Elephas maximus indicus: one gene and its partners. The protein of the gene in region 1 purifies or fractionates together with the protein of each later gene. This does not show direct contact. Links are inferred from orthologs where the notes say so. Each region holds a gene or a part of one and is shown in the gene's direction. Other genes may lie near its edges.

The links.
Region 2: the proteins of CLTC (region 1) and CLTA purify together in Homo sapiens (co-immunoprecipitation; 6 studies listed by BioGRID and IntAct, with this or other methods). This does not show direct contact. The link is inferred for Elephas maximus indicus from reciprocal best matches to the Homo sapiens genes CLTC and CLTA.
Region 3: the proteins of CLTC (region 1) and MYO6 purify together in Homo sapiens (affinity purification with western blotting; 4 studies listed by BioGRID and IntAct, with this or other methods). This does not show direct contact. The link is inferred for Elephas maximus indicus from reciprocal best matches to the Homo sapiens genes CLTC and MYO6.
Region 4: the proteins of CLTC (region 1) and AP2M1 purify together in Homo sapiens (affinity purification with mass spectrometry; 3 studies listed by BioGRID and IntAct, with this or other methods). This does not show direct contact. The link is inferred for Elephas maximus indicus from reciprocal best matches to the Homo sapiens genes CLTC and AP2M1.

Annotation. Positions count from the first base shown.
Region 1 is NC_064837.1:34,475,606-34,483,561, reverse strand, and holds the start of CLTC (clathrin heavy chain 1), read left to right. Parts: upstream 1-4,933; 5' UTR 4,934-5,238; coding exon 5,239-5,280; intron 5,281-7,956. UniProt on the Homo sapiens protein: Clathrin is the major protein of the polyhedral coat of coated pits and vesicles. Two different adapter protein complexes link the clathrin lattice either to the plasma membrane or to the trans-Golgi network.
Region 2 is NC_064827.1:45,041,373-45,048,397, forward strand, and holds the start of CLTA (clathrin light chain A), read left to right. Parts: upstream 1-4,016; 5' UTR 4,017-4,147; coding exon 4,148-4,364; intron 4,365-7,025. UniProt on the Homo sapiens protein: Clathrin is the major protein of the polyhedral coat of coated pits and vesicles.
Region 3 is NC_064819.1:139,186,990-139,194,552, forward strand, and holds the start of MYO6 (unconventional myosin-VI), read left to right. Parts: upstream 1-4,552; 5' UTR 4,553-4,790; intron 4,791-7,563. UniProt on the Homo sapiens protein: Myosins are actin-based motor molecules with ATPase activity. Unconventional myosins serve in intracellular movements. Myosin 6 is a reverse-direction motor protein that moves towards the minus-end of actin filaments.
Region 4 is NC_064819.1:30,892,499-30,899,549, reverse strand, and holds the start of AP2M1 (AP-2 complex subunit mu), read left to right. Parts: upstream 1-4,023; 5' UTR 4,024-4,129; intron 4,130-6,042; 5' UTR 6,043-6,083; coding exon 6,084-6,157; intron 6,158-7,051. Other genes in the region: DVL3 (segment polarity protein dishevelled homolog DVL-3), read left to right, coding at 1-169.

The DNA of each region.
Region 1 (7,956 bases):
GGACCATCATTTTCTCGTGAGTTTATTTGGTGCCAGCTTCTTCTTTATGGTTTTCCTATTTCCAGTCTGTAACTTGGGTTAATACTCATTAGGTCAAATGGAGAATAATTTGAGTGGCACTCATTCTTGCAGATAGAAAAATTGGAAAGTTCTGTTTAAACGGGTATTTTCCTTTTTTAGTGTGCACCACTTATAGACTAGCTTTGTATGCCCGTCTGCTATTCTATTTAGTTCTTTTTAAAGAAATAGAATTTCTAAGCCTTCCTCAGTAACGAGAAGTGTTATCTCCACATCTGATCTGGTGGCTCAGTTAGATAGTAATTAAAATAGAGATGGGAAAGGCTGTCTTTATAACGTTAGTTTTTATTTCCACCACGTGGAAAGCTTTGTATCTGAGTGGCTGGTGGAACTAATCTAAGGACTTTTTCATGCCTGTTGGTGCAAATCAATAAATATGAGGCAGGCTCATATGAATGCTATATATTTTTCATCTCTGCAGTGGTGTGGAACGAATACTAGTTGTATGGCTGTTTACAACATTAAACTCAGTTATTTGCAATCTATACAGCCAGGAAAAGAATATAACCAGATTTTTTTGTTTTACATAATCTTTTATCAGTCAAGACAAGTTGAGGTAAAGCATTAAAAAAAAATTTTTTTTCTAGTGTGTCCTAGGTTTGGAATGGATTCAGATTGGGTTCCTACTTTTGTAGGAGTACCGTAAAAAAATTCTTTAGTGATGAACCCAAGGCCTTCAATATTCAGAATTGCTTTCTCCATATTAATTTTTTTTCCAAAAGTCTTTTAAGAGATTTTAATGTTGAATAATTTTACATTGTCAGTATTCAAAAATGTTGGTGTAAATTAGATAATTCCTTGAAACTTTATTATTGAGTTAACCAAAATTTATTTACCAAATCACAGTCCTTTCTGTTCTAAAGAAGAGCGAATTTACTACCATAACGCTGCAGGTGTGCACTGGTAGTGGCAAAACTATCCCTAGGAGTGTGGAAAAATTTCAGTATTGCTGAGGGAACATGTGTGGGTAATGTGTTGCTTTGAACTGGAAATAGTAATAACTCTAGGAGATGAAAAGAGGCAATTCTGCATATTTAGAAAGGAGAAAAACAGTCCATAACAATCATTCCTATACCTTTACCCTCAATCACCATAAATTGGCCCCTTCATTCTATAGATCCTCTCAAGTTTGTAATTTTTGTTTTTGGATATGAAAAGGCATCTGACTCCCTGTTGATCATCAGGGTTATAACTCTTCTGAGTTTTTCTGTCCACAATGCTCTGTGCATCTCTACATTTGAAGAGGACCATCTTTTCTGAGATAACTTTTTAAGGTAATGCTATCAGCCACGCATCCCTCTGCTTGGGATCTGATTTCACCTATAAAAACAAAGGAGAGGCCTATACAGTGTGATAGATTGATTGCAGGTTAGATCCCCACAGGGTTAGTCTTAACTATTCACTAGGAACATGCTCAATCCTAATACAGATCTTATTGCCATCCATAACATTTTATAGAACTTAAAGGTGGAGCCCTGGTCCCTGGTGGTGCAGTGGTTTAGTGTCTGACTGCTAACCAAAAGGGTGGCAGTGCAAATCCACCAGCCATTCCTTGGGAACCCTGTGGGGCAGTTCTGCTGTGTCCTATAGGGTCGCTGAGTCTGAATCAACTGCACTAGAGCGGGTTTGGTTTTTTTGTCTTACAAATTAGGTTTAAGATAAGCCTGAACAGTGAATGATGTCAAGAATATAAGCTCAGGTCTACTTCATGCTAAAGTCCATTAAATTTTTGCTTTTTAAATGTTTCATTCATTTGAGGGAGTCTTGCCTATAATCAGTGCCTTGTACAGGGTCGCTATGAGTTGGAATCGACTCAATGGCACTGGGTTTTGTACAGGGCCAAAATACTGTGGGCACTGTAGATTAATACCTGAGCCCTAAAGGATATTCATTTTCTTACTGGCCTTTGATATGCTGCTGTTTATCATTTTTGAAAAGATAAAAGACCAGAGGGTATAATCCTACTGGGATTTGTATCAGTGGCTCTAGGGGACTGAAATGTTTAAATGGCAAAGCTACTTATCTTACTTGGACAATGCTAAAGTATATACCTCTTGGTTTCATTAAAATCTTAATTATCAACTATTTGGTGCAGTGAGTTGAAGTTTTACTTTAAAATTAATCTGTAATGTCTGAGAAATGCCTTTGTTTTGACTCATGCAATGCAGCTAGCCCAAGCTGTTTTTAAAATGTCAAGTTAAAAGGCATTATTAACCTTAGTGCCAGGGCTGCTTGAAGATAATAGCTACAGAGGAATCCTACAATGAAGGTTTTTTTGAGATGTCATTCCCATTAGGAATTAGTTCCTGGTATAAAATAAGGAGCACTATAAAGGTTTGCTGTATAGGTTTTGAGAAACTAGCACTCCTCATTCATGAGTTGGAATCGACTAGATGGCACTGGGTTTGGTTTTTTTAGCACTCCTCAAAACAGACCAAGCAATGTAGTTTTTGCTAATGGCAGTTGCTGTGACTGACGGTAAGGGCCTACTGTTGATGAACATTCTGGTTAAAAAGTGCTTCAAATTTAAAGAGTCGACCATTTATTTAACATGGTACCTTGCTAGACCAGGGTTATGATTCATTCATAGCAGCAGTCTTATTAAAAGACTATGTGATAGTTGGGGAAAAAAAATCTGGGTCGCAGGGTTTGTTTCCTGGCTTATTTAGGTATTGCTGTAGTAACTGTTAACAGTGCCTCAGCCTTTCGGGTTTCTACAGTAGGGATTCTCAACCTTTCTCCTGTCTCTACACCATTAAAGAACAGCATAAAAAGCATGTCTTATTACCTCACCCAAATTTTGATCTTTAAAAGGCATAGTTTTATTTTTTTTTAAATGTTTACCATCTGGACCTTTTTACTCTTGAAAAAAATTGGATTTGTTTATAGTGCTCAAAATGCACTAGTATACTGCAGTCTATTTTTTCTTCTCAAATTATTTCTGAAAATAATGCGTTCATTAGATTTCTGTGTATGATGACACCGCAGTCACTTTAAGAGAAACTCAGTACACTTTTTTTGTTAGATACTCCATACTAAGTATCCAAGATAAATCAACTGCTTTTGGGATTTCAAATATACTTTAAAATTACAGGGTCTGTACGAAAATGCAAGACACTAATAGAAGAAAAAAATTGGTAGCTGATTCATGATATATAGCTCTTGTATCCAAGAACCTGAGACTGAAATGATTAAGCTAGTGCCTTTGACTATAATAAAACAGTAGCTCCCTTAGATTTCTGAGGATTGATCTACTTCCAAAAAGGATTTAAAGCAGCTATTAGACTCGTAGTAGAAAGATGCTTTCAAATGTTGCAGAATACACATCTTCAAGTATTTGGTTTAACAATACAAAACGAAATTTTGCTCAGCATAGATGTTCTCTCTTGTAACATGGTGGCAAGGCTTTTCTTTACAAAACAGTCTCTAATCACTTTCTTACCTACCACACATTCTTCTCTCATCCTTAGTGAGACAAAAACAGCTAAAATGAGTAAGGAGACTTTTCACACTAAGCAAAACTGCTTAATATAGAAAACAAAATTATAGTTTTATGTTTAAGTGAAAAAGGCACTAAAAAAATTGTGTATTTGAGTTTTTCTCGAAAAAATAACATCTTACAAGAAATGAAAGCCACAGAAGCCTTTATCCTTTATTGATTCAATTATTAAATACTATTAACACCTTATACGTTAGCAATAAGGTGCTGAGGTTATTATTAATGGACAATGAATGCTGTAGATACCTTAATGCTGTTAGAAGATACGATGCCCCGTCTTTGAAGCATTTATATTCCCAAACATTGCTAAACCTAGAGGCACTGTTGAGGTGGTCCCACTGAAATACATGGCTAATAGTTCATCCCTTTCCTCCACGCGTGGACGTTAACCTCACGTAGGAAAAATCTTTCAAGCACCCGTAACTGAATAATCCAAATCTTTGAGACTCAGAATGATTTGACGTAGCTAAAAAGAAAAGCTTCTTGCTACAATTTTGGTCAGACCTTCTAGCTTATTTATGATATTCAAACTCTTTACACTGGACTATTTGATTACTAAACTAGGCGGATAGATGTCCTCCAAAATGTCCGCAGAAACCTTAAGAGAAGCTATCACAAGGCCAGCTGGAGATACCTCATAAATGGCCTTCACTGTCCTTTGAGCCAAATATTTAACACCCGAGGAGAACGCTGGTTCTAGTTAGAATCCGCGCGTCATGTTCTCCAACCGTCAGAAGCGCGTGTGTAGTGATTGCGAGGATTTAAAACCCCATTTCGCTGCCCCAGTCCTGGAGATGTAAGAAACCACCCACTATAAAAAACCAGGCGGGGGAGGAGTGCGGCAGCTAGCTGCCAAGAGAGCGCTCTGCGGGGAAGCAGTTTCCCTGAGTCACGGACAGGGTGGGAGATCGGGCTCATCAGCCCACGCCTCGTCTTCGTAAGGCACCCAGTTTAAATAGGCAAGGGTCACAGGGGAAGGAGCAGCACCCGCCGCTCCTTAAGGTGGCCCAACCGCCACCTCATTCCCAGGAGACTCCGCATTTCCCGAGAACCCGCTCTTCATTCCGGCAGCGATCAGCCGACCCTTCCCTACCAGCGTCACGTGCGCCCGGAAGTATGTGGGTGGGACTTGAACCGCCCACGGAAATGACGTAGTTGCCCCTTGTCGCATGATGTGGCAAAATGCAAAAAAAAGGGGGGGTAGGGAATAGAAGGAGGCTGGGGGAAAGTGATGAGTCCAAAAAGTAGTCCCTTCGGTGCTTATATTAACACCCGTGTAGCATCAGTACGCGAGGCTCTCGGCGCACTGCGCCCCTAATTCCTCCGCCCGGCAGTATCGCGGCACTCTGTGGAGGGGTACATAAAGCGGAGGGGGTGAGGCGACTTGGGCGGAGTTCTGTCGCCGGGATCCCTCCGCAGGGCTCAGCCGTTTCCGGAGTCTGCGCTGCGCCCGGTTCCGCCATTGCGGCTCTCCTGGCCCCTGGAGCCTCCGCCCCCGACCCGAGCTCTTTCGTCTGCCTGCCAGTTTCCTGCGTCCCCGGAGAGTATCCTACTGAGCCCAGCCTCCCCCTCCCCCTTCTCCTCCTCTCCCTTGGAGAGCCCGGGCAGCCGCTGCCCCGCAGTCCCAGTGACAGGAGGAGACCGTACCCCCCGACAGCGCCATGGCCCAGATTCTGCCAATTCGTTTTCAGGAGCATCTCCAGGTGCGGCTGGGCTCGGGCTGGTGAGGGCTGCGGAGAGGGTAGGAAGGAAGGAAGAAGCTGGAGTATAGGCCTAAGCAGAAAGAGCGGTATCGGGGGGTGGGAGTGGTGGGTGTCGGTGCCTGGGATAGATGGAGGGGGGCCTGTCTTGGAAAGCTTAACGGGTTAAAGAAATCTTGTGAGGCTTGGTTGGAAAGGACAAGAGTCAGGGTGCAAAGGGCGTCATTGCTAGGCCTGGATCTCAGGATCTCTCTACCTTGCTTCCTGGATGGGAAGAACTGCATGTACTAACTCCCCCCTCCTTGTTTTTTTCCGTTCATTCATTTGGGTAGGTGGATGGGGAGAGATTTTCTCCTGTTTCTCCTGGAGCATGGATTCTCATTACCCCTTGGGCCATTCGGGGGCTGTCATTTCTCATTGCCTTTCTCCCTCTCCACCTTCGTGTCTGCACTAAGGAGTTGTGGGGCGGGTGGGTTGGGGAGGAGCAACCTTTTTTCTTCCTCCCTCTGCGGCTCTCAACTGGGAAAGGCACCTTCCCCCGGGGTGGGGGGCGGGGGGGAGGCGGCCTTGTATCTTGCCTTCCCTAAGGCAGTAGAAACAAGGTCACAGAAGGAGTTTAGAATGGGGGAACGTATTTCTCAGGGCGGTGTCAATCTCAGGGTGCTTGGGGTCAAGGTCCCTGGGGGAATTAGCCTTTTTCCGTTTCTTGATTTCTCTAGGAGTGGTGTGTCTCTTAGCCCCTCTTTGGTTCTAGGAGGTAGGGAAGGAGCTCTTCAGAGGTTATTTTGGGGTCTGCTGGAGTCTAGCAGATTGTTGTGCGCTTGGCGTGAGTAGCTCCTTCAGGATTTTTTGGAATTAAAACAGCTATGGGGATAGAGCACACCTGCTTTGAGACGTTTGTCCAGGGTTGTTTGGTCTGTAATTGGCTTCCCTTTAGTAGGTTCTAGAATTTTTTCCCTACCGTGTCTTATCCTGGAGGCAACGTAACTGTTGTCTTATCTGGCAGCATGTCCTGGCTGGGCTAGGCAGGTGATCATTGGAGGGCTTGACTGAATTAAGCCTTTTGAGCTTCTGATTTTCCAAGTTCACCAATCCTGCTTCTATCTAGTTTTCATTTTGGCTGAAATAATTCATTCATATTAACTTGTTTTCTTGTCACATACCCTCTTAAAGAGGTCTGCCTAAACTCAGTCTTCTGAAGAGCAAGTTTCATACATAATGTTAGAGGACCCAGTGGTATACACATAACACTAATATTAGTAACCTATTGGATATTTTTCCATTCAAGGCAATTTTATTTACTTTCTTCCATTTCATTAACAAGAATCCCCGGAGGATTCTTGTTAATAAAAAGGTTTAATATTCAAGATGTGAGTAACATAATTTCATAGTTCTTTACAGCTGTTATCATTTTAACTTGCATCAAGAAATTCTTTTTCTTTAAGACTTGAATTGTAATGAATAATAAACCTTTACCTGTAAAACTAGTTAAATAGTGTACTTCCTTCAGTCATCGGTAGTTTGCAGAATAATTCATCTGAAGTAATGGAATATACCTCGGCAATAAAACCACTATATTACAAAGGATTTAAAAACGTTAAGTAACAGAATGGACATGGAGAAATTATTTTTTTATGTTCAATCCAGTTGCTGTGTTTACCTCTGTTAAAGGGGGCTGGTAATTGAATATGGAGGGTTAGAAAAATACTGGTTTTAGGTGTGCGGAAACCGCAGGCTCTTCCTCACAGTAAAGTGCATTTGAAATAAGCCTTTTTGTAGATGAATGTTTGTAAGTCATACACAAGAGAAGCAGGTACAGCTGCTGCTTAGTTTACATGGCTGAGGCATATCAGTTACCGCTGAGTTGAATTCAACTCATGGCAATCCATGATATAACCCACTAGTAAATCTTTTTGGTTGACCGATGGTGGTTTGAGTAATAGCTTATTTTTATTAAAGAGGAGACAAGAATTGTTAAATGATTGCACAAAACAGAATCCAGCCTTATCACCAACTGAAGACATTTAATACAGGCCTGATTTCTAAGTGGTCTGAAGTTTCTCCAGTTACTTGAGTGAAGCCATTTCCTTCTCAAATAATTTGAAAGTTTTGAGTATAAAGTAGCTTTGTGAATATACTTTAAAAAAAAAAGATATCCATTTTTTGGAGTGATAAACTTAGCTATTGTATGCTCGAGCTGATAATGATTAAATTGCAGAGAGAGTCAAATTATCAACCTCTTCCAGGATAATTATCTCCTGACTTCTCATCTTTATCCTCTCCTTTTTTTTTTTTAGTTAATAAGAATTATTTTAATTGGCAACTTAAGTCTTTGACCTCTGACCCTCTGCCAGCTTGCTAAATAGCAGAAAACTTTCTGAAACGCTTTGGATAAAAACTGGGAACAAGAAATGAGGAACTTAAGTTTGGAGCTTTAGCTCGTTATAGCTTCAAAACCTGAACTGTAAATGAATTTATTTTTGTAGGCCTTAACTACATTGACCAGTTGAAGGATCTGTCATTGAGGGTTGGATCTGCGTCAAATGAATATTAATATTTTAAGTTATGCGGTTTTTTTTTTTTTAAGGATGTTTAGGCTGATAAAAAGCCTGTTGCTGTTGAGTCAATTCCAGCTCATAGCGACCCTAGAGGACAGAGTAGAACTGCCCCATAGGGTTT
Region 2 (7,025 bases), on another chromosome or scaffold:
GGTTAGAACTTCAATCTATCTTTCTGGGGCACACAATTAATTTATAAAGGTCGTTATCTACTGAGCTTCCCCTTGGACAATTCTAAACCTCTTCCCTTTCTTCCACTGGTTCTCACTTTCCTAAAGCAATTGAGTCCCTCAGGGGTGTCTGTCCTCACTCTTGCCTCTAAAATTCTCTCTCCCCAGTCTATTGTTTCCACCACCTCTTCCTTATTATATAACTTCAACTTCTCCCTATCCTCACCTACAAATGTACTCAACTGTCTCCTACCTTAACAAACGTCCCCGTGGTGTTATAGCCCTAAATATAGCTCTTCCTTCTTTCCTTGCTGCCAACATTTCTAATAAAGTCTTCTATATTTACATTTACCCTCATCTCTTATTCTATATCAGACAGAATTCTTTTATTTACAAGTTATCAAAACACAACTGTCTTAAAGGAGAAAAAAAAGTTTATTTGTTCACAGAACTTGAAAGTCCAAAAGTAGGTATCTCACTTCAAGAATGTCTGAATCCAGGTGCTCAATGATGCAAGCAGGAAGCCGTCTGTCTTCATCTCTGCTTTCCTCTACGTTGGCTTCACTCAGTCTGGCTCTCTTCTCTTGATGGAGAGACGATCACCAGAAGATCCAAGTTTACATTTTACCAGCTCATCAGTCATAACAAAAGAGCCCTGCTTTCCCAAAGACTTTAGAACAGTCCTGGAATTGAGTCTCATGGACTTGGCTTGACTCACTTATCCATTCCTGAACAAGTCATTTGGCCAGGAGATGGAATGTTCTAATTTGCCAGGCCTGGGCCACATGGTCCAGGTCAACTCCATCCAATGGATAAGTGGTTCCCCAAAGGAAAATCAGGGTGCTGATTTCAGAAAAAAAGGAAAACTGGATGGTAGAAGGGCAAAATCAACAGCTGTCCACTACACTTTTCACTCCTCAATCCAGTGCAACATGATTTCTGCTTCCAGAACCCTCTGATGTCTTTCTCACCAAGGTCACCAGTCATCTTGATGGCCAACAGCATCTGCTCAGCCCTTGCTCTTCTTCACCTTTCTGCCAATTGCTTCTTTCTCCTGCAAACTCTTTTTCCTTGACTTCTATGACCCAGGTCTATACTGACTTCCCTTCAATTTCTCTAATCTACCCCTCTGTCCTTCACAAACAGCCGTCCTCTAAGATTCAGTCTTCAGTCCTCTCCAGTCTCCATTTGTAGTCTCACTGCTCTCCTGAGCACACCTCTTGCTACTTCCTGGTCATCTCCCTTTATATCTTCTTCTGTCTCCTATCATTCACTTGAGCTTCTGAGAGCCCTCAAACCAGTGGCCCTAGCAATATCACATACTCATGGCCTCAGTGATCTTTTCCCCCTGCTTCTCACCCTGCCCCTTCCTCCAGTCATACACCAAGTCGGCTGCTTCTCTGTAGGGACTCATTCTCCCATTAATGCTCCCCATTCAGTTACATACCACTGCCCCATCCAGACCTTCATCATGTCACTGCAGGACTTCTCTGCTCATTGATCCTGCACAAAGGGATCAGATTAACCTTCTAAGCAGCACATTCACCATGTCATTCATCTCTGAAATCTTCTGCAGTTCCCTACTGTGAATAAGGCTCCTAAGCCTGGACTGCATTCAGAGCCCCAGTAGGTGGCTTCAGGTTTACCTTAAATCATTCCTCTTCTTGAGTCCTTCAGGCCCAGCTACACCAGTTTATTCACTGTGATCTAAACATGCCCTTTTCTCACCACTGAACGTTTGCACAATAGTAATCTCGTTTGTTGTTGGCTGTTGTTGAGTTGGCCCCTAACTCCTGGAGACCCCATACATAACAGAACAAAATGCTGCCCAGGCCTGTGCCATCCCCATGATGGGTTGTAGATCAGATCATTGTGATCCAGAGGGTTTTCACTGCTTTCGGAAGTAGATCACCAAGCCTTTCTTGCTAGAACAACTTAGTCTGGAAGCTCCACTGAAACCTGTTCAGCATACAGCAACACCAAAGCCTCCACTGACAGATAGGTGGTGGCTGCCCATGAGGTACATGGCTAGGAATCAAACACAGGTCTCCATCAGGAAAAGCAAGGATCCTACCACTGAACCACCACTGCCCCCTACAGTAATCTTGTTGTTAGCTGCCACTTAGTCAATTCCAACTCATGGCAACCCCACCTGTGTAGAATAAAACTGCTCCATAGGGTTTTTAAAGCTGTGGCCTTTCAGAAGCAGAATGCGAGCCCTGCCTTCTGAGGCACACCTGGGTGGTTTTAAACCTCCAACCTTCTGACTACTAGTCAAGCACTTAACTGTTTGCACCCCCCAGGGATTCCACAGTAATTTTAGACCCTCACTATTAACTCTTCTTTCTAATCTTACCTATATTTCAAAACTAAGCTGCAAGCTACCTCTTCTGTGACGTCATTCCTGAACGTACCAGCTGATTTCCCCAATTTTGAGTAAATAAATATTTGTTGATTTGACATGAGGAGATCTGATACCTCCTCTAGTAATGGAATCTCAGGATAGCTTCCCCAGTCATGCACTTGGTGTAGAAAGAATGTGTCTCAGTCCCTCAGCTACCATTACAGTGAGCAACCAAAGGCTGTCTCCCTTGGACCTACTCACGGTAGTCCCTGGCCCCATCCTCCTCACAGGGTAGTTTCAAAAAAAAAAAAAATTTTTTTTTTTTTTATGAAAGTAGATACTACATACATTGTTGTTAATTTATGCGAGAAGAAGAAGAAGATTGAGTCTGTTGCAGGCCCTAACATTTTAAGTTTCTTAAATGTTCTTCTTCAAAATCTCCTATGTTACATACTTAGAGTGATTTAAAAAGAAAATACACACTTTAAGCAAAATAATTATCCTTTGTCATCAAATATACATTTTTTTTTTTTTAAGCCACCTTCTTGTCCCTTGCTGACTACTTCTGGAGATATCTGTGACCTTTGGTTGTGTTTTTAGTTTGTTTCTGGTTCTGTTCTTACAGTGGTGGTGATGATGGAAATAGGGCCTTCCATTATACATTGCATAATATCCCTCATTATCATGAACATGATTAACTGGAATCACTCTATTATAATTTCTATGATGCAGACAACATTAACTAGCCATGTTTAACAAGTTTCTGATTTAAAAGAAATACTGAAGAAACTTTTTTTTTTTTTTAAGGGAAGTTTCTGCTGTTCTTAGTTGGGAAAGGTGTGCACATATAAGGGGTGTGGCTGGTACCATCACAGAAGTGCTGTGGTCCCCAGGAGACCTGGGTCTCCTCTTGGCCACTGATTTCCCGTGACTGAATCCCTCACACACCGGGATCTCAGTTTCCTATGAACGAGGTGATCCCTAGTGGAATTTCTAGTTCTAAAAACTTCCTTATAGCTCTGAAAAGACGTACTGTCCGCAAAAGTGCTTTTAAAAGGCGATACATTCGTCTTTTTATAAAAATGTTTATAGGGAGAAAAGTTGGAACGGATTTGAATCTATTACATTTATGTCAATCGACTCTAAAAGAGAAAAAAATCCAGACTGGATGAATGGGTTAACAAGTTTTTTAAATAATACATATAGCCAGTCCATATCCACAAACGGAGTCTTCCCTATAGGGAAGGAGGGAGGCAAGTGCATGGATTCTTGCCCTTTTACAAATGAGGAAACCGAGGCTCAGTATAACTGGCTTGCCTCTTCTGTAACCCGCCAATCACCACAGCCGCAACTTTACCTCACCTCCTGGTTCAGGACAAGAATTCCCTTCAGAGGTGGCGATCCCTGATCATTCCGGCTCCCGAGGGCGGGGCAGATACCGTGGCTTTAGTCCAGCGCCTCTCCCGCCTCCCCTCGGACCGCGGAGCTCACCTCCCTCTTGGGAGAAGCCCGAGTCACGAGTTTTCTTCCGAGGCCCGCCTCTCCTCCTGCTGATTGGGTAGTTCTTGAACGATTTCTACCTTCTCATTGGTTTCTCTCTTTTCGGCTCTCCACGCGCCCTAGACCAGCCGGATATAGAGGCAGGGTTTCCGCTTCCGCCTTCTCCCTCCTTCCGCTTGTGCTCCGAGCGTACTCGCCAGCAAAGCGACCGCTTCCTGGGGAGGTGTCGGTGGGTCGGTTGGTGTGTCTTCCAACGTCAGTGTCCGTGCCGTTGAACTGTCCGCCATGGCTGAGATGGATCCGTTTGGCGCCCCCGCCGGCGCCCCAGGCGGCCCCGCGCTGGGGAATGGTGTGGCCGGCACCGGCGAAGAAGACCCGGCCGCGGCCTTCTTGGCGCAGCAAGAGAGTGAGATTGCGGGCATCGAGAACGACGAGGCCTTCGCCATCCTGGACGGCGGCGCCCTCGGGCCCCAGCCGCACGGCGAGCCGCCGGGGGGTCCGGGTGAGATTGCGGGCGTGCTGGGGCGGTGGGACTCGTTTGGAAATTCAGGACATAGGGGATCCGAGAGCTTCTGTGTAACTCCTGTTCCTTGCTGAACCAGGAGGTTAGGGAGGAGTGGAAAGAGGAAACGAGACCCCGGCCCAGTCATACGGAAACCTAGGCTGGGGAAGCCTACCCGGCTCTTTGACTGCTGTCGGGCGCGGGCGGAGCGAGAAACCAAAGAAGATAGAATGGGTGGTACTTAAGATGGGAAGCCCGTTCAGTTGAGCAAGTTTTTGTTAAGCACTTGCTATGTCTTGAACCTGGCCTCTGAAACAGTCGCTTTAGCGCATTTTGGCCAGGATTACAGGCAAGTCTACTCCAGCAGGGAACCAGTTACGGGGGGGCAGAAAAAGTAAGAGTAGTAATTTGTTTTTGAGATATTTAAACAAACAAACAAAAACTATGAAATTCAGCATGTAAGCGCTTAAGGTGTACAGCACGTAGGCTATGGGAAGGAAGGAGGAGTGAATGGGGAGCTCAAGAAGGAAGTCTAGCCCTGGAGAAGGAAACTTGAACCAAAGACGTCCAGGAGTTTAGCATTTGTTGAGCTATGTTAGGAGGACTTCTGGAGCTCTTCTTCCTCTGGGAACACCTTTGGTAGCCGGGTGTGGCGAAACCTAAGATTAGCCTGGTTCAGTTAGGGAGGGAAGAAGAGGTGAACAGAGAATGCAGTTTGGCTTTTTTTTCCAGCCAAACTAAAGCAAAAAAAGGAGGGGGGTGCAGGGATGGTGATAGGATGCTGATTTGATCTTTGAATGCTTTGCTTGTGTGTGATGCTTAGAATTGTACAGGTGGGAGGAAAGGTGAGTGGAAGAGACCTATTCAGTGGTGTAGGGAGTTCAGCCAGAAGAAACGAGACATGACTTGTCATTTACTTAAAAAACTTTCAGTTAAAGGGGAATAAGACATTTGTGGGGCAAATAAGGGTATCTGTACCTAAACTCAAACTGTTAAGGGACCTGGCAGGTAACATAAATGAGATAAGCAGGCTGAATGTGAAACATTAAGGAAGTTTGGAGACTCAGACTTCAGTGCAGTAGAGAGTAGGGCTCTGCTTAAAAACATTCAGGCTCAAAAATCTCAAATTATTATGCCAGCCAAGCAGAACATCTGAGGGAGAATGGGGGACTGCTAGTTTGCAGCTTCCAAGTTCTCTATACTATACTGTGCTGCCTCCTAAGCAAATCATTCCCCCAAGAAGAGCCTTGGGAATCAAAAGTGGTACCATAAAGAATGGGGGTCAAGGGATATTTTCCCAAAAGCAAGCCTTTAGTATTCTCTAGAATTGGCCAGACCATGATCATGACCATGAATATATAATTTATATAGACAGGTTGGACTGAACCGGACTGTGACTGAGAGATGAAGTCGGCTTTAAGTAGTTAAGTAGTATTTGCATGGGATGGTCTTTAACATTTGCCTGAGAATCATAAAATTTACTTTTTTGATCCTTGATTTATTTCTCATCATTTAATAAAAGAGAAAACTGAGTCCTTGAGAGAAGTGACTGAAGAAAAAAGGCAGGTTAATAGCTGAGCCCCAAGTCATTCCACCCTGACTGTACACACATTCTTCTACAGTTGTTTTAGCAGGCGTGTGGTGGGATGAGAGATTGTCATTTCTTTTTTTTAATAATTTTTATTGTGTTTTAAGTGAATGTTTACAAATCAAAGATTGTCATTTCTGAAAGGCAGTTGTGGCTGCTCTGGGTAGGACAGAGTCAAGAGAAGCAGGGCCCCATGAACTAGGGGTCATTACTGCATACCTAGTTAGGAGGTTGTCCTGACTCAAGGACAGTGTTGCCTACTGTTGTATCCTTAATACCTAGCGGGTATCTGGTACATAGTTGGTGCTTACTGTTTGTCAAAGGAGTGGGTAAAAAGTGTCAGGTCCAACAGTCTTGTATAGGACTGGCAGATCTTAGTGTGATGGTAAAGAGAGAATAGAGTTAAACACTTAGGTCCCTCCTGCATCAAGCCTTCAGCAAAGGGAAGGAAGGAATGATTGCTGACTTAGTTTCTAGGAAGGACTTTCTTAGTGAACTAAGCATTTAGTGACTGAAAGCCAGATTCCTGACAGTGTGGTTGAGGTTGGTAATAGTGCAGTGGTCAGCACTTCCTTTGGGGATTAGATAACTAGTTGGACACACTCTCTTTTTTAAAGAGGCACTCTAGTATAGTGGTTAAGATTGTGGGCTGTTGTGTAGGCTGCTTGAATGTTTAGCTTTGTGGTGTCAGGCAAGTTACATAACTGCTAACGCCACTCTGCCACAATTTTCTCTGTAAAAGGTGCATAGCATATGCCACGTAGGGTTGTTATGATTACATGAGAGAGTACCTGTAAAGTGCTTACATGGAGTACCTGGTATATACTCCAGTGAATTCCAGCTACTCTTATTCCTTGGAGGTGGGGCAGAAAGGGATTTTGAGGCCTATAGGTTTTGGGATGTAATGAGGAAATTGAGAGATTTTAGGTGGGAGCTCTGTTTCTGATGTGTTGTACAGGATACCCAGACTGTAGCAGTGATTGAGGAGAGAGGAGGATATCCACACTAACCCCAGCCTTGGGGAAAACTCCTCCCATGGTTTTAAACCAAAACCCCAACCCGTTGCTGTCTAG
Region 3 (7,563 bases), on another chromosome or scaffold:
ATTAACAACTTTTTTTAATATGCAGATAACACAACCTTGCTTGCTGAAGGTGAAGAGAACTTGAAGCACTTACTGAAGAAAATCACAGACTACAGCCTTCAGTATGAATTACACTTCAACATAAAACAAAAATCCTCACAAGTGGACCAATAAGCAATATCATGATTAACAGAGAAAATACTGAAGCTGTCAAGGATTTCATTTTACTTGGATTCACAATCAACACCCATGCAAGCTGCAGTCAAACCAAAAGACTCACTGTATTGGGTAAATCTGCTACAAAGGACCTCTTTAACGTGTTGACAAGCAAAGATATCACCTTGAAGACTAAGGTGTGCCTAACTCAAGCCATGGTATTTTCAATCGCCTCATATGCATGTGAAAGCTGGACAGCGAATAAGGAAGACCAAGGATGAGTTGACACCTTTGAATTGTGGTATTGGTGAAGAATATTGAATATACCATGGACTGCCAAAAGAATGAACAAATCTGTCTTGGAAGAAGTACAACCAGAATGCACCTTAGAAGCAAGGATGATAAGACGACGTCTCACATACTTTGGACATGTTATCAGGAGGGATCAGTCCCTGGAGAAGGATATCATGCTTCATAAAGTAGAAGGTCAGTGAAAAAGAGGAAGACCCTCAACGAGATAGATTGTCACAGTGGCTGCAACAATGGGCTCAAGCGTAACGGTGAGTGTGAGGTGGAGCAGGACTGGGCCATATTTCCTTCTGTTGTATATAGGATTGCTATGAGTTGGAACCAACTCAACGGCACCTAACAGCAACACTCACAATTATAAAACTCCTTAATAAGTGGTACAATATAGAAATGAAGTGGTGCACTGGAAAATAAGGTAAAGAAAAAAGAATTCTGTGAAAGAGTCAGAACAGAGAAAATAATAGTTGAATGGAGTTTTTAAGACTGAGGGGAATGAATTCCTTAGATTAGGCGGGAGGGGGAAAAAAGTCTATGTAGGAGGAATAGTCAGGAAAGGGCATGGGATATTTGAATTCCTATGGCTTTTTTTTTTTTTTTTTTATGGCTTTAGGTTCAGTACTGTGAAGGGTTCTATCATTCCATATGAATGAGTTTAAATTTATCTGAAAGGTACCATGATTTGGTAAAGGAGTGACATAACTGGATTTGGGGAGGGCGGTACAGAGAATGAATTTGAGTGAGCAGAGACAAAGGCAAAAAACTGGTGAAGGCCCGTACTAAGGGAAGATGGAGAATAAGGCCTCAACTTGGAAATAATTTATGATGTAGTAGAATGAACTAGAATTCATGACTACGAAATTAGAAGTAAAGAAGAGGAAGGAGTGTTGGGTAACTTAAAAACCACAACTTCTGGACACTGGTGACTGGTAATGCCATAATCATAATAGGCTCTGTCTGCAAGGGAATTGCTTGAAGGAGTTGGCAAGGGAAAGATAATGATTTTCTGTCATGTACCTGTGGGTTATTTAGTCTGCTTTATTTTAGGAGTTGGTGACACAGATGCAGTTGGACCTGTTAAAGTGGATGATTATCAGTTAAGCAAAGAGTAAAGACAATTTAAACACCCATGTCACGGTTTCCTATAAAAATGAAGGAACAAAACCACAAAATTTCACATATAGTGTCAGGGGTTCATGGAGCCCTTCAAAGTTTATGATACTGGATTGATGAGTCTCAGCTTAGAAATCTCTGGGGCAGAATCTGGGGAAGAGCCCTACAAATATTTAATGGGCAAGAGCAAAGATGAGACAATTACAAATATAAATAGAAAATAAATTATGATATGAATTTTGGCAACAAATAAGACACAGTGCAAAAAGCATATGCATAAATACAGGTATATATGGAATTTCCTAGAATTGTCAACTCTCTTGCCATTTGTTCATCCATCAGTCTCATTCACTCAATAGTAATAATAATAATGGTAGACACTGTTTAATGATTGCCTATCATGTGAAAAGGTCCCCGGATGGTGCAAATGGTTTGCTTTCTATAATTAACCTAAAGGTTGGTAGGTTGAACCCACCCAGTGGGACCGTGGAAGCCTGGCTAGCTGCTTCTGTAAAGATTACAGCCAAGAAAACCCAATGGAGCAGTTCTACTCTGTAACACATGGGGTCCCCATAAGTTAAAATTGACTCCACAGCAACAGGGTTTTTTTTTTTTTTTTGGTTGACCATGTCAAAGTCAGTGTGTTTGTGAAGTTCACTATCCTGCCTTCAAGTAGCTTTCAGTCCAGGTGGGGGTGACTTATATGCCAACTGAAGCTGCAATACTGAAATAAATGTTGAGAGAGACATGTGCAATGGGTGTTAAAAGAGCAATAGGAAGGAACAGAGACTTGTACCTAGGTTTTGGTATAAAGGGATTTAGGGAAAGCTTTTTAGAGGGGACAAATAAATTCTGCTCTGAAGGATTAATTCCATTTAGCCTAGCACTGCTACAATGTGATAAATAGCATTGCTGTCTGTTTTTGGACAGACAAGCACTTTACAATGGCTGGAGTGTAAAGTACAAGAAATGGAGGAAGGCAGTGTGGGCAGAAATGAGATTACACAGTTAAGTAAAGATATGACAGTGGCGCAAAATGCAAACGATTCCAAAGACAGGCAGGAAACATTGTATGAAGGCTGCTGTAGAACAGCTTCACCAGGCGTGCGATGAACCAGGGGGCTGCATGACCAACGAAAAGGCATTCAAATTCAATTAAAATAAAAAGAAAGAAAGAAATCCCTACTGTGTTGGCCAAATAAAATAGTTTGTGACTGGTGAACTAAATCAAGAAGGATCTTATGTAACTTTAAGGGGTATGGACTTTATACTATGGGTTGTGAAGCACCATTGTAGGACAAAGTAGGACTACCCCATAGAAATTCCAAGGAGCAGCTGGTAAATTTGAACTGCTTGCTTTTTGGTCAGCAGCTGAGCTCTTAACCATTGTGCCACCAGGTCTCCAAAGCACCATCATAGGAGCTTAAATAGAGAAGCACATAATAAGATTTGTATTTTATAAAAGATAAATCTGGTGGCATTGTGGAGACTGAATTAGAAGGGAATGAGGCTATAGTCTGGGAAGCTGGTTAGGTGGCTAAGGCAGTACACAAGACCTGAGACGATCCTGGCCTGAAACAAGATAATGATGGTGGCTATAAAGAGGAATTGGATGTTGTGTTGAAGATATAGAGGAGCCCTGATGGTGAAGTGGTTAACAGCTCGGGTGCTCTTAACTCTTAACCAAAAGGTCGACAGTTCAAATCCACTTAGCCACTCCTTGGAAACCCTGTGGGGCAGTTATGAGTCAGAATTGGCTGACCACAGCAGTTTTTTTTTTTTTTTGAGATATAGGTAGAGCTAGAAGCAAAGGGACTCCATAATGGTTTAGAAGTGGAGGACAAGAGAGAGCAAGTCACAGAAGTTGTTACTCATGAAAAACTGTAATGTGTCTGCTTCTATTGGTTTCCCAAGGTTTTTTAATCTTAAGTCCAAAATGAGGTCAAAGAAGTGAAAGAAGCACAGCATGCTACCTTCTTCCTCCTCACCTACTCCTCATTATTTTTTCAATTCATTTATAAGTCTTGAGTTTTTATATCAAGATTTACTTTCTGGCAATCTGGAATTAAATTTCTAAGATTGCTGCAAATTATTTCCTTTCTTGGTTTCACTTCCTCTTTCCTACTTCCCTATTTAATTCTTAAAATTTTATTGTTTTAATTGTAGTTTCTCCATTGAGAAAACTGTAGAACATCCGAATATCTGAAACTTCTCTCCTCTTCTGAATCTTCTAGATTTTCTTCAATTTCAAAGTTGCTAATTGGAAATGATGGGGGGAAAATCTGTACTTTTTTTTTTCATTTGAGACATTCAGCATTATAGTCAATTACCATTTTATTCTCGTAAAAGCAGCTTCCACTCGTCGTACAGACGGTTTACGTTTTCATTACAGAATTCAAATTTGCATAGCTACTTCATATTTAATTTTAAAATATAATCCACAGATATGTCCCTTATAAAAACAGTAAAAGATGATAGGGGCTCTAATAAATAACAGCAGGAGGGGAATGTTAGGGGAAGTCAAAAATTTCCATCTCAGGCTCCCTTCCCCCAAAGCAGAATAGCAAGTTTGTTGCTACTGAAGGCTACTGCCTTCGTAGGGCAACCCAGCTCAGCGAAGCCGCACGCATCCACAGCCCTGGGGTCCTCCCTTCTTTTCCGCACAACTTTTTCCCGCTTTGCGCTAATTCTTGCTGTTGCCAGACTATATAGTCACGCCATCGAGCCTGGAAAGAACTTGCTTTCCTGGGGCTGGAAACTAGAACCATTGCGAAGGAAGCCGTTTCCCAGGGGAGGAACAGGGACTTTCAGCTCGGCCAGGGGCAGTCCGACCCCGCGGCGCCCCCACCGTGACCCTCGAAGCTCCGCGTCGCCGCCAGGAGAGGCGGACCGAGGGGCGGGGCGACCCCCAGCGCCGAGCGCCCCTCCCGGAGCGCGGCCCCGTTTGCCCGCCCCGGCCCGCCGCGCCCCCGCCCCCTCGGGCGCTCCGTAGCCGTGACGTGCGCGGCGGCGGGGCCGGGAACTCCGCGGGGCGCCGGCCGGCGGGCGGAGACGGACCCGGGACCTGTCCGAGCAGGAAGCGAGCAGGATCCCGGCCCTGGCCGCCGCCACCTGGTCCCTGTGCTAGTACGCGTCTTCGTCCTCCTCCCTCGTCCTCATCACTCGCACCCGCGTCCTCTAGCCTCACCGGCGACAGGTAACCCCGTCGCCGCGCGCTTGCCTCTGCGCCCGCACAGGTGAGTGTCCCCGAGTCCCCGCTGCGGGCTGCACCGCTTGGGCCTCGTTTTTCCTGTTCTGGCCCTGCTTCGGGGCCTTCTCCAGCCGTCCCGGGGCGGACGGCTTGTTTCCCAAGGACGCGCGGGTGGGCGACACAGGTGATGGTGGGACCCGGCGGCGAGCGTGCCCAAGCGGCGACGGCTCGCGTTAGTGTCGTAGGTGGTTCTCTTTTCCACAGATAGACAATGAGACTCTCCTTTTATAGGTTTATCATCACCGAGGTACTTTTGTGTTTCTTCCCTGTTCCCAGGTAGAGATAGAACACTCAGGTGTCCGGTTCTGACTTGGACGCTCCATAATAGTTTTATTTTCTCTTTTGTAAACAAGCTTAAAATTCACTGCAGAAGCGTGCATTTTGTTCTGGGATGCGAGGATCAACTGTTATCATTACTAGTTTAATCATTTGGAGAATCGTTTGGGACTCTCGAAAGCAGTATTTTCAATCGCACATTGTCCAGTACCTTAAGTATGTTAATTCATGTGTGTATTTATTAATTTCCAAAACTCCTTAAAATGATTAAAATGTTCTAAGTCTGGAATTTTAATTTTAAGTAGAGAATAACTTGTTAGTGTTATTACTAGAACATCCGTGTCAGAAATACGTTTATACAGTTTCGGGAAACACCCTACGTTTTATCTGGCATAAAATATGTGGTGGAGGAATGCTTAAAATCGAATCTGCAGATCTTAGTTGGGAGCTAGGACCACAGCACGAACTTAATAGATTATTACACATTCTGAGTACAAGTTTGGTCTCTGTTGTGCTCTGGTGGTGTAGCTGCAGTATCGCTAAATATAGTCAGTGCTTGAGAGTTTTAAAAATTAACATTCTTAAGGTTTAGCAGAAACCATCCTTACACCATAAAATGTGGATCTTGAACTTGGGTTGGTAGTTGTCAGGGTACAAAGGTTGGCAGCAAAATAGCATTTCTGTACAAATTAACTGAACTAATAGACGTCTGGGGTTATGATTTTCCAACCGGAAATTGTTTAGTGGAATTACCTTGTTGTTTTTTAATCATTAGTTTTAAAAGTACCACAAATGATACGAAGTGAGCTGTAATCAGAGCTTGAAACAATACAGCCCTTCAAAGTAGCTCATTGACTTTTAAATATCCAGCTTATTTTGAGTATGTTCGGTTGCACAGGAATCACATGCAGAGTGGTAAACAGAAGTCATTTTAGTATTATGCAAATTCGTTGTTACATTTGTATGATCTGTTTGACATGCTATTTGTTTTCCCCACTTTTTTAGTTATATTTTTATTTTCAAACACTGATTTTAAAAGGCAGTGGCAGAAGTGACAAAAGACTTAAAAAAATAGGTCATGATTAAAAACTATGAACATGATATGTAATGTAAAAGTGTGTAGAATGTACATGTACTGTATATTCTTCGTTAGTCCTGGAAACATGAGTAAGAAAAATGTACTGAGCTATTGGCAATATTTAAAGTAAATTAATGCAAGGTATTAAAAAGAGTTCATATACGATCTTTCCACAGTAGTTACATCATAACCCAAGAGGCTTATCTGAAATGGATTTTTTCCCTGTTTATGTTTGTGTGATCAAGTTTTAAAATAACAGTGGGCAGGAAATCTGAGAGAGGCTGGAGGCTCTTTTCTCATCCTGTTGTGACTTTGTCTGGAGTCTGTGGTGTATCATGTAGCCCATTGTTTAGACAACTGGGCTGTATCTGGGCTCTAAAATACAGCTTTCTTTAGAAAGTTTTAAAGGTTTTGGCCATGGGATATTTGAATAAATATTAGTACCCCAAACATTAAAAAAAAAAAAGTTTAAGTGACTGTTGATAATTGAGGCTCCATCTTTGTTGTGTAAAATGTCAGTTTTAAAAAGGTATTTCTAAACTCTGTAAAATTTTAATTTCTATATATTAAAAAAACCTTATTTTAAAAGATTGCAAAAAGAATTACGACTTTGATAAATCTCAGTCTAATTCGGATGCCCATCATGAGACACTTCATAATAATTTGTGAACCAGTCCATTAGTATTGTAAGAATGTTACCCTATTAGGCATCTGCTGCAATTAAAACACTAACAGGAGCACTTGACCTTCAAAATAATTTTCAAGGTTAGTGGTCTTGCGCTTCTTTCAGGTAGTAGGAAACTTGGGGCCAGAGAGTTAAATACTTGCTCAAGGTTGTATATACCTTGAGGGGCAAAGTCTGGATTCCTACCTGAGTCTTCTGACCCGGAAACTTTTGTTCCCTCTACCAGGCCAGTTTGCCCTGATTTCAGCTCACTTGGTAGATGGTTAGATACACCTGCACAACTGGTATTGTATTGAAGAATGTAACTAGAGGTTTGAAGAAGGCACCCAGAGCAGATGTGATAGGTCATGAGTGTAGTTCTGGAACTAATATAGAATTCCAGGTCTGTTTTTTCATTCTCAAATTGACATCCTTGAACAGTGATATCATGTTGCCTTATTTTTGATATAGTCCCAGAATGTGATACATATTGTGGCGCTTTTATTTTAATGGTCTTTATGGGAACTAGAATTAGACTGTAACCTAATACTGGTTTTCATCTTAGCTAAAATGAGTAGTATGATGTTCATGGTTAGGATAAAACTTTTAAAAAATTTTCCTCAAATGAGATAGATTTTTGTCCCTAAATGCAGTAGCTGTCTTTTAAATATTATATAATTAATTAGGTAATCCCAGGGAAAAAGCTTGTTTTTAGATTATGATTAAAGTGTCACCTGTGCT
Region 4 (7,051 bases), on another chromosome or scaffold:
CTACGGGCCCCCAGTGCTGATGATGGCCCCGCCGCCTGCGGCCATGGGGCCCCCAGGGGCCCCCACAGGCCGCGATCTGGCCTCTGTGCCCCCCGAACTGACCGCCAGCAGACAGTCGTTCCGCATGGCCATGGGAAACCCCAGTGAGTTCTTTGTGGATGTGATGTGAGCAGGGCCCCTCTCCACTTCCACCCCCATCCCGGCCGCCTGTGCCCCTCTCACCCACCGTCCGTCGTTTTTTACTTTGTCTGGTACCTGAAAGGGAAATAAATGGAAGGAAATGACGGCGCGCTAACTGTTCAAGGGACGCACTGAGGGTGGGGTGCACCCACCGATCGGCTTGGTACCCACTAACCTGCCTCTGGCCCCAGCTTGAGCTCTTGGCCCACTGACCGCTGAGCAGGATTTCCGCGATCCTTCGTGCCCTGGGCTGCTGTCTCCAAGTCCCCCAGACTTGCCGGTGCCACCCTTAATCTGGCCCTCACACATACACACTTAGGAACTAACCCTAGCAGCCCTTGGAGGCCTCTCAGCCCCTCGTCCTCTCCCGTCCCCCTCAGTTCCATTTCCCCATTCATTCAGCCCTGTCATCCCTCTGTTGACCTAACCCCTCCAGCACTGTGCAACCTCGACTTTGTCCAGCAGCATCGCTTCCCCTCCCCCCGGACATTCACTGAGCCTGCCCGCCTTAACTGTCCATTGCCTGTGCCTCAGTCCTGCACCCTGGAGCCGGAGCCACTTCCAGTAACCATCCATGCCATCCCTGCCTATGCCCAGCCCTGACCAGAGGCCCAGAGGGCCCCTGAGCTGCCTGCGTGGCACCCACCCGCCCTGTCCCTGCTGTGTCTGGCCTGCGTGCTGGTTCCTTCAGACCCCTAACCCTACTAACTGGCAGGCCTGTCTCACCTCTGGGCCTGAAACATTTCTTTTCTTTCTTTTTCCTCCCCCAATTTTTCCTGGGTCTGGAGCAGCCAAGAATTTCGGGCTGTTTGACTTTCTGTGAGCCCCCTGCAAAGGGAGGCCCAGCCTCCGAGGAGACCAGGAGCCCTGCTTGAAGAGCCCCTCAGGGCTCCCCAAGGATATCCAGCCCCCACACCTATACTTCACTATTGAGTTATTAGGCTTCCTGTGGAGGGCCCCAGCCTCTCACACACAGTCACTCGTGAGAGACTATGCTTGCCTCTCCAGAGATAGTGTTCTCTCTCTCTCTCACACACACACGCACACACACACAACGCACACGCACACACACACACATGTGCCTATGCAAGTTCACTCAGCCTCAGGGCTGGTCCCTGCCCAGAGGGCTGGATCCCTCTCTCCCAGTCCTCTCTCAGGTTGTGGGGCTGGTCCCCTGACTTCCTGCTCCCCTTCCTTGTACTCCTCAAGCCTTCCACAGTTGTCCTCATCATCTTCCTACCTGGATAAAACCCATAAGCTGGTTCTCAGGCTGGGCTCAGCAGAGGCACAGACCATTCTCACACATACCCCTCCCTGTTTTCACATTTGCGGTGACACCCCAGAGCCAGGACACAGGAGCTCACAGGCCAGTTGAGGTTGGGCAGGGGGACTTCTGGGACTTCCAGACAGAGTGCCAGGTTTTTTTTTTTTTTTTTTTTTTTACCTTATTCTTCACTTTAACCAAGTCATGACTGCTATAAATTCTCCTGGCTCACCTAGGCTCACTAAGGCACCCATATTTTCAGGGCTGAGGTATCAAGAGTAAGATGAAGTCCTTGGTTCCAGGCTTTGGGATGAACCAAATGCCAGGCATTTTGGCATTCATTCACTCAGCAAATACTTCCTGGGGCTTTGGTAAGCAGAGTGCTGTGCTGGAAGTGTGACTCAGTCTTGCTCACCCTCTGGGAGCTCTGGGTTCACTCTCAACTCAGTCCATGGCTTCCTGTTGATGCCACTGCGGGGCTGTCTCCTGCACTTCTCTGCCCTCTCTGACTGCCTGTCCAACTCTTGAGAATTCCTCTGCTGTTGCTCATGCCTTCAGTGTCAGTGCCCCCTGCTGTTCTATCTTTGGTCCACTTCTTTTTCCTTTCTATAAGACTCCCCAAATGGCCTCATCCATCATTATGTCTTCAGCTGCCACTGATATGCTGGTGATTCCCAGGTATATATCCCCATCCCCAACTTCTCCCCTCATCTTTAGGTCCATATTTTTATTACCCAATGGACATCTCCACAGACATATCCATGTGGACTCAACATGTCATCTTTCCCGCCAAGTGTGTTCCTCCTGAATTCCAATCCTGGTTACTTTCATCACAATCTACACAGGTTCACAAACTAGAAACGTTTCTGGGTTTTAATTCCTTCCTCCCATGTCTTACCAGTCAGCATATCATATCCATTCCATTCCAACAATCGTTCCTGAATTTGGCCCTTCCGCTCCCGTCTGCCTTTACTTATTTAGTTTGTTGGACCACGGAATTTGGAATCAGGTTGTTCTGGGTTTGAATTCCAGCTCTACTACTTTTTGGTTGTGTGATCTTAGGAGGGCTGTTTAACCTCCCTGAGCCTCAGTTCCCTTGTATGTAAAATGACAATAATAATACCTACCTCACAGGGTTGTTGTGAGGATTTAAATTAGATATTGTACGAAAAGTGCCTGGCACAGTACCTGGCACACAGTAGAGTAGGTGCTCAATAAATGGTGGCTATTATAATTACTGCTATTACTATTATTATTATTTAGTAAAAAATGATAGAAGTTTTGGATACGTGTGAGGAGCCCTGGTTGTGCACCGGTTAAAGCACTTGGCTGCTAACCGAAAGGTGGTTTGAACCCATTAGCCACTCGGAGGAAGATGTGGCAGTCTGCTTCCGTAAAGATTTACAGCCTTAGAAACCCTATGGGGACAGTTCTATTTTGTCCTGTAGAGTTGCTTTCAGTTGGAATCGATGGCAGTGGGTAGGATATGTGTGGAAGATAAAGCTTTTGGAGAGGTAGGAGTGAAGCCTCGAGTACTAGTTCACCTGTACTCAGTCACTTAATGGCTTCAGGTTAGGACCACGGTTTGAGGAGGCCAGACCTTCCTTCTATCACATTCTGTCTTCTGGCAGGAGGAAGCTAAGGACAGTGGGATTTGCAACCGGGTTTGCTCTTTCTTGCCCTTCCTCCCAGGACTGGTGCAGTCCTGCCCAGGGAAGGCAGCAGGGTGTCTCTGCCTAAGATGAGGAAAAGCCAATAGGTTTCCTTCAAGGTCCTGCAAGAGCCAAGCAGGCCTTTCATGTTGGGGGTTGGCTCTGTCTCCTCTCAGCCTAGATGTGAAGCTTAACTATTCATTAGACAAGGGGTTCCAATCCCATGTCTAATTAAAATCAACTCGCCAGACATTTTCTAAGCAAGATATGCAGCCCGTCGCTCGGAGACACACAGCTCTCGGCCTTGAGGAGCGCACGGTCACGTAGCTGAGGTAGAACACACGAACGCTCACGAAAAGCCGTAGCTAATTTCTTGCACATAATTGTCACCTCCCTTCCTACACCCCTGCTTGAGTCTTGATCCCTGGGAAAAGGCTCATGGCTCGAATAAATACATAACGAAAAAAGTTCGTGAGAATCAGAGGTGATGTTAGAAAGCAGTCAAACTCAACACAAACACTTGTACCAAGTTGTGTGTTTATGTGTAAAATAAGGACAGCCAGTCCTCAGACCTTGGAAACATAAAAGACCTACAGCAACCCAAACCTTAACAGATGGTCTTCAACAAAAACGTCACTAATCTCTGAGCCTCTCCAAAACGCTTAAATAGGCACAGGAGGGATTGCAGAAACTACACTTCCCAGAATGCTCAGTGGAGAAAATCAGGTGAGGGGGAGCGGCGTATGCCGGGATGTGTATTCAAAGAGTGGCGTGGAAGATGGGGGCGGTTTCCCGAAGGCTGTCGGTAATTGTAGTTTTGACAAGTCTGAACCGCTTACAATGGTAAGGGAGAAGCCGAGAGGCCTGACGGGATTTGTAGTCTCCGCGGGGCGGAGCTGACGCGCAAGCGCAGCTGAGGCCAGGGCGGGGCCGCGGCACTGCGGTGAAAGCCGAGGCAGCGGGCAGGCGAGCAGGGGGCGGGCGGACATCTTGGGATCCGGGGAGTGGAAGGACCGGGTGCCGCCGACACCAGGTGAGCTCGGGATCTGACCTTACCGGCGGGAGGAGGGCGCCGCGGGCCGTCTGCGCCGTCGCCCGGCTTTGCTCTTCCCCGGCCCGCACTCCGCGGAAAGCTGCCCACACCCGGGAGTGGCCTCAGCCTGCAGGCCCGGGGCGCGGCTGCAGGACGGGCGGGAGCGGTGGCCTCCACCTGACCCGCCTGGCGCCTGCCGGGACAGAGACCGAGCAGAAGCCGGGTAGAGCAGGACACCGCGCGGCGCGCCCCATCCCAGGATCGTGATCACCCCCTGCCCCTCGGTACCTTCTCTCAGCGCAAGGACAATTTCCCGGCTCCTAGGACAGTGACACCCCCTGTGCTGCCTCCTTGGACTGTGACAAGTCTCCCACCCCGCCGCACTCCCTTCTACCTGTTCAGCGACATCCCCAGCTCCTCGTCCTCAGACCTGTGACAGCCCCCGCACCCCGTGGCACCATCTTTTCCGCCGTGGCCCCCTCCCTAGGGCGAAAACACCACCACCCCCTCCATATCTCTGCACCTAAGCCCCAAAGCAAGCTCCAGCTCCCCGCATTGCCATTCACCACTGTCAGTCTCTCCCTGCCGGCCACCCTTCCCACCCCCAAGGCCTTGACCTTTTCCAGTCTCCAAAGTCTTTCTTCCCTGTGCCCCCACCAGCCCTGTTTGCTGCTGTGGGCTGCTGGAGTAGCCTGCCTGGGCTGTTGCTGCCAGCCTTTGCCCCTGACTAAATCTCCCGTTCCTGTCCCAGGCTCCACCTCTGTTTCTTTGTCGCCCGGAGCTACTTACCACTTCATACCCGTGAACTCTACTTCCATTTTGTGTTTCTCTCCCAGCCTCTTTGGGACTGAGGGATGGGATGTGGCCGCCACCCTGAGAAAGCCCTCACTGGTCCAGGAGACCTCCACAGCCGCAGTAAAAGGCTTCATTATGCAGTTTAGAAAAGCCTGCTAAAGTCTCCGCTGTGAAATTAATACCAGGGCTAATCCAGGCAACCTAGAGCCAAATTAACCCTTTTCATCTCTCAGTCCAAATTCATTTGACCCAAATAACTTGGATAATTCAGGCATTTCTGATAGGCCTGCGCCTTGGTTATGGGCACTCAGGCCAGACGTGAGCTAGTTGGTGGGTCTGGAATCACTGAATTTCAGCTGGAAGGATCTCTTCATTTTATCACCCTACCCCGCGCCCCCCCGCCCCGCCCTTATTTTTATTGCAGTCTAGAACTGAGAGGGAGCCTACCTTATTGAAAGTAGTTAGAAATAACTGTAACGAGCAGCTTGTGTCATTGAAGCAAAGTCTGCCAGGTCGGGGGCCTTTCTGGCCTCCTATTTGCCTGCTTATCTGACTGCCTGGGAGAGGCTGGAGCCACACTCCTGGCCCCAAACCAGGGCCAAAGGCCTCCCTTCCTTCCTCCTCTTTCCCCCACCCTGCACACCCTTTCTTGGAACGTTAAGGCTTCTGTGAATTAGAGATCCACGGTTCAGGCCCTGCCAGTGTCTCAGAGGGGTAGTGGAGCCTGAGCCCCAGGCCTGAGCCATCTGGACTAATTCCTGCTGCCATTCCAGCAGCTGCAGGCAGCCGGCCTTGCAGTGACTCACAGGCTGGAGCCTGAGTGATTCTGCACAAGAGGGGGCCGGAAAGGATCCTAGCTGGGCTCAGTGCTGGCAGGAGGGGAGGGGGCTACTCTGGGCCCAGCCCCAGAAGAGGGAGGGTCCAAATTGCCTTAGAATCCTGGGCCGTTCCAGTGTGGGATAAACAGGAACTGGAGGAGGCTGGCTGAGGGGAGGGGCATGCCTGGAAGGGCTGCAGGGTCACTTGCTGATGGGGTTGAGTTGGGGGAAAAAAACCCTTTGCAGGGCTGTGGGCAGGGGTTCTGAGGCCTTCCTGTACCCTGCCTCCCCCTGTCCTAGGTCTGTTCTAAGCAATGGGCTGCGGAGACTGAGCTGCCACCATGATTGGGGGGCTGTTCATCTATAATCACAAGGGGGAGGTGCTCATCTCCCGGGTCTACAGAGATGACATCGGGTGAGTGAGTCCCCTGGCTGAGCCAGCTGTGCCCCTGCCACCTGAGCCCCCCTCCCCAGCATGTGGGACCAGGTCTCTTCCCTCCGGAGGGTTGACTTGGGCCACCGCCTACCCTCACTGCATCCTGGAAGCTCAGCTAGTACAGCCTGGTTCCCCTTGGGTCTGGTGATGGTGGTGGGCCTGGCAGCTAGCTTGCAGGCCGCTGGGTGAGATTTGTAGGGTGGTGTGGCCTCCACAGGCTTCAGGGCTTCTGCCCTGCCTGCCTCCCTGTTTCCCTTAGTGACAGACCTGATTGCTGGAGGCAGTTGCTTTTGCCAAGCAGGTTGGTTCTTCCTTTGAGGAGAGGGATCGGTCTCCAATGGGTGGGGTCAGTGGCCAGGCTGGAGGTACTAATCTGTTCTAAGTTTTGTTCTTAGAAGCCCTTCTCATGTTGGGAGCCTTCCCTGGGCTCTCTTGGAAGCCTCTCCAGGCTGCAGAATCCTCTTCCACCTCCCTTTCTCAAGATAAATCAGGCTGCTGACTCACCTGATTTCAGTTCCTCTGGGCCATTTCTGGAAGAGAGCTTGTGGCAAGCCTGAGGCACTCACTCTAAGGTCTTTGCTGGAAGGAAGGATGGGAAGGCCATGCTGCCCTTTCTGGCTTGTCAGAGCAGACCCAGAACAGCTCCTTGTCCTGGGTCCCTCAGGTCTTAACAGGGATCTACAGCCTTACTCTCCATCTGTTCCACCATGTCCACCACTTTTCTTCCCTGACTGAGGGGACATATTCTCACCTCGGCAGCTCTAATGAGATTAGGCTCCACTTGTTCTTGCTACCCCAGTTGGACCTGTTGCAGTGCTCCATGGCTCCCTGGCTGATGGGCTGGCCTGGCCACGGTGGCTGTTTGTCCACTGG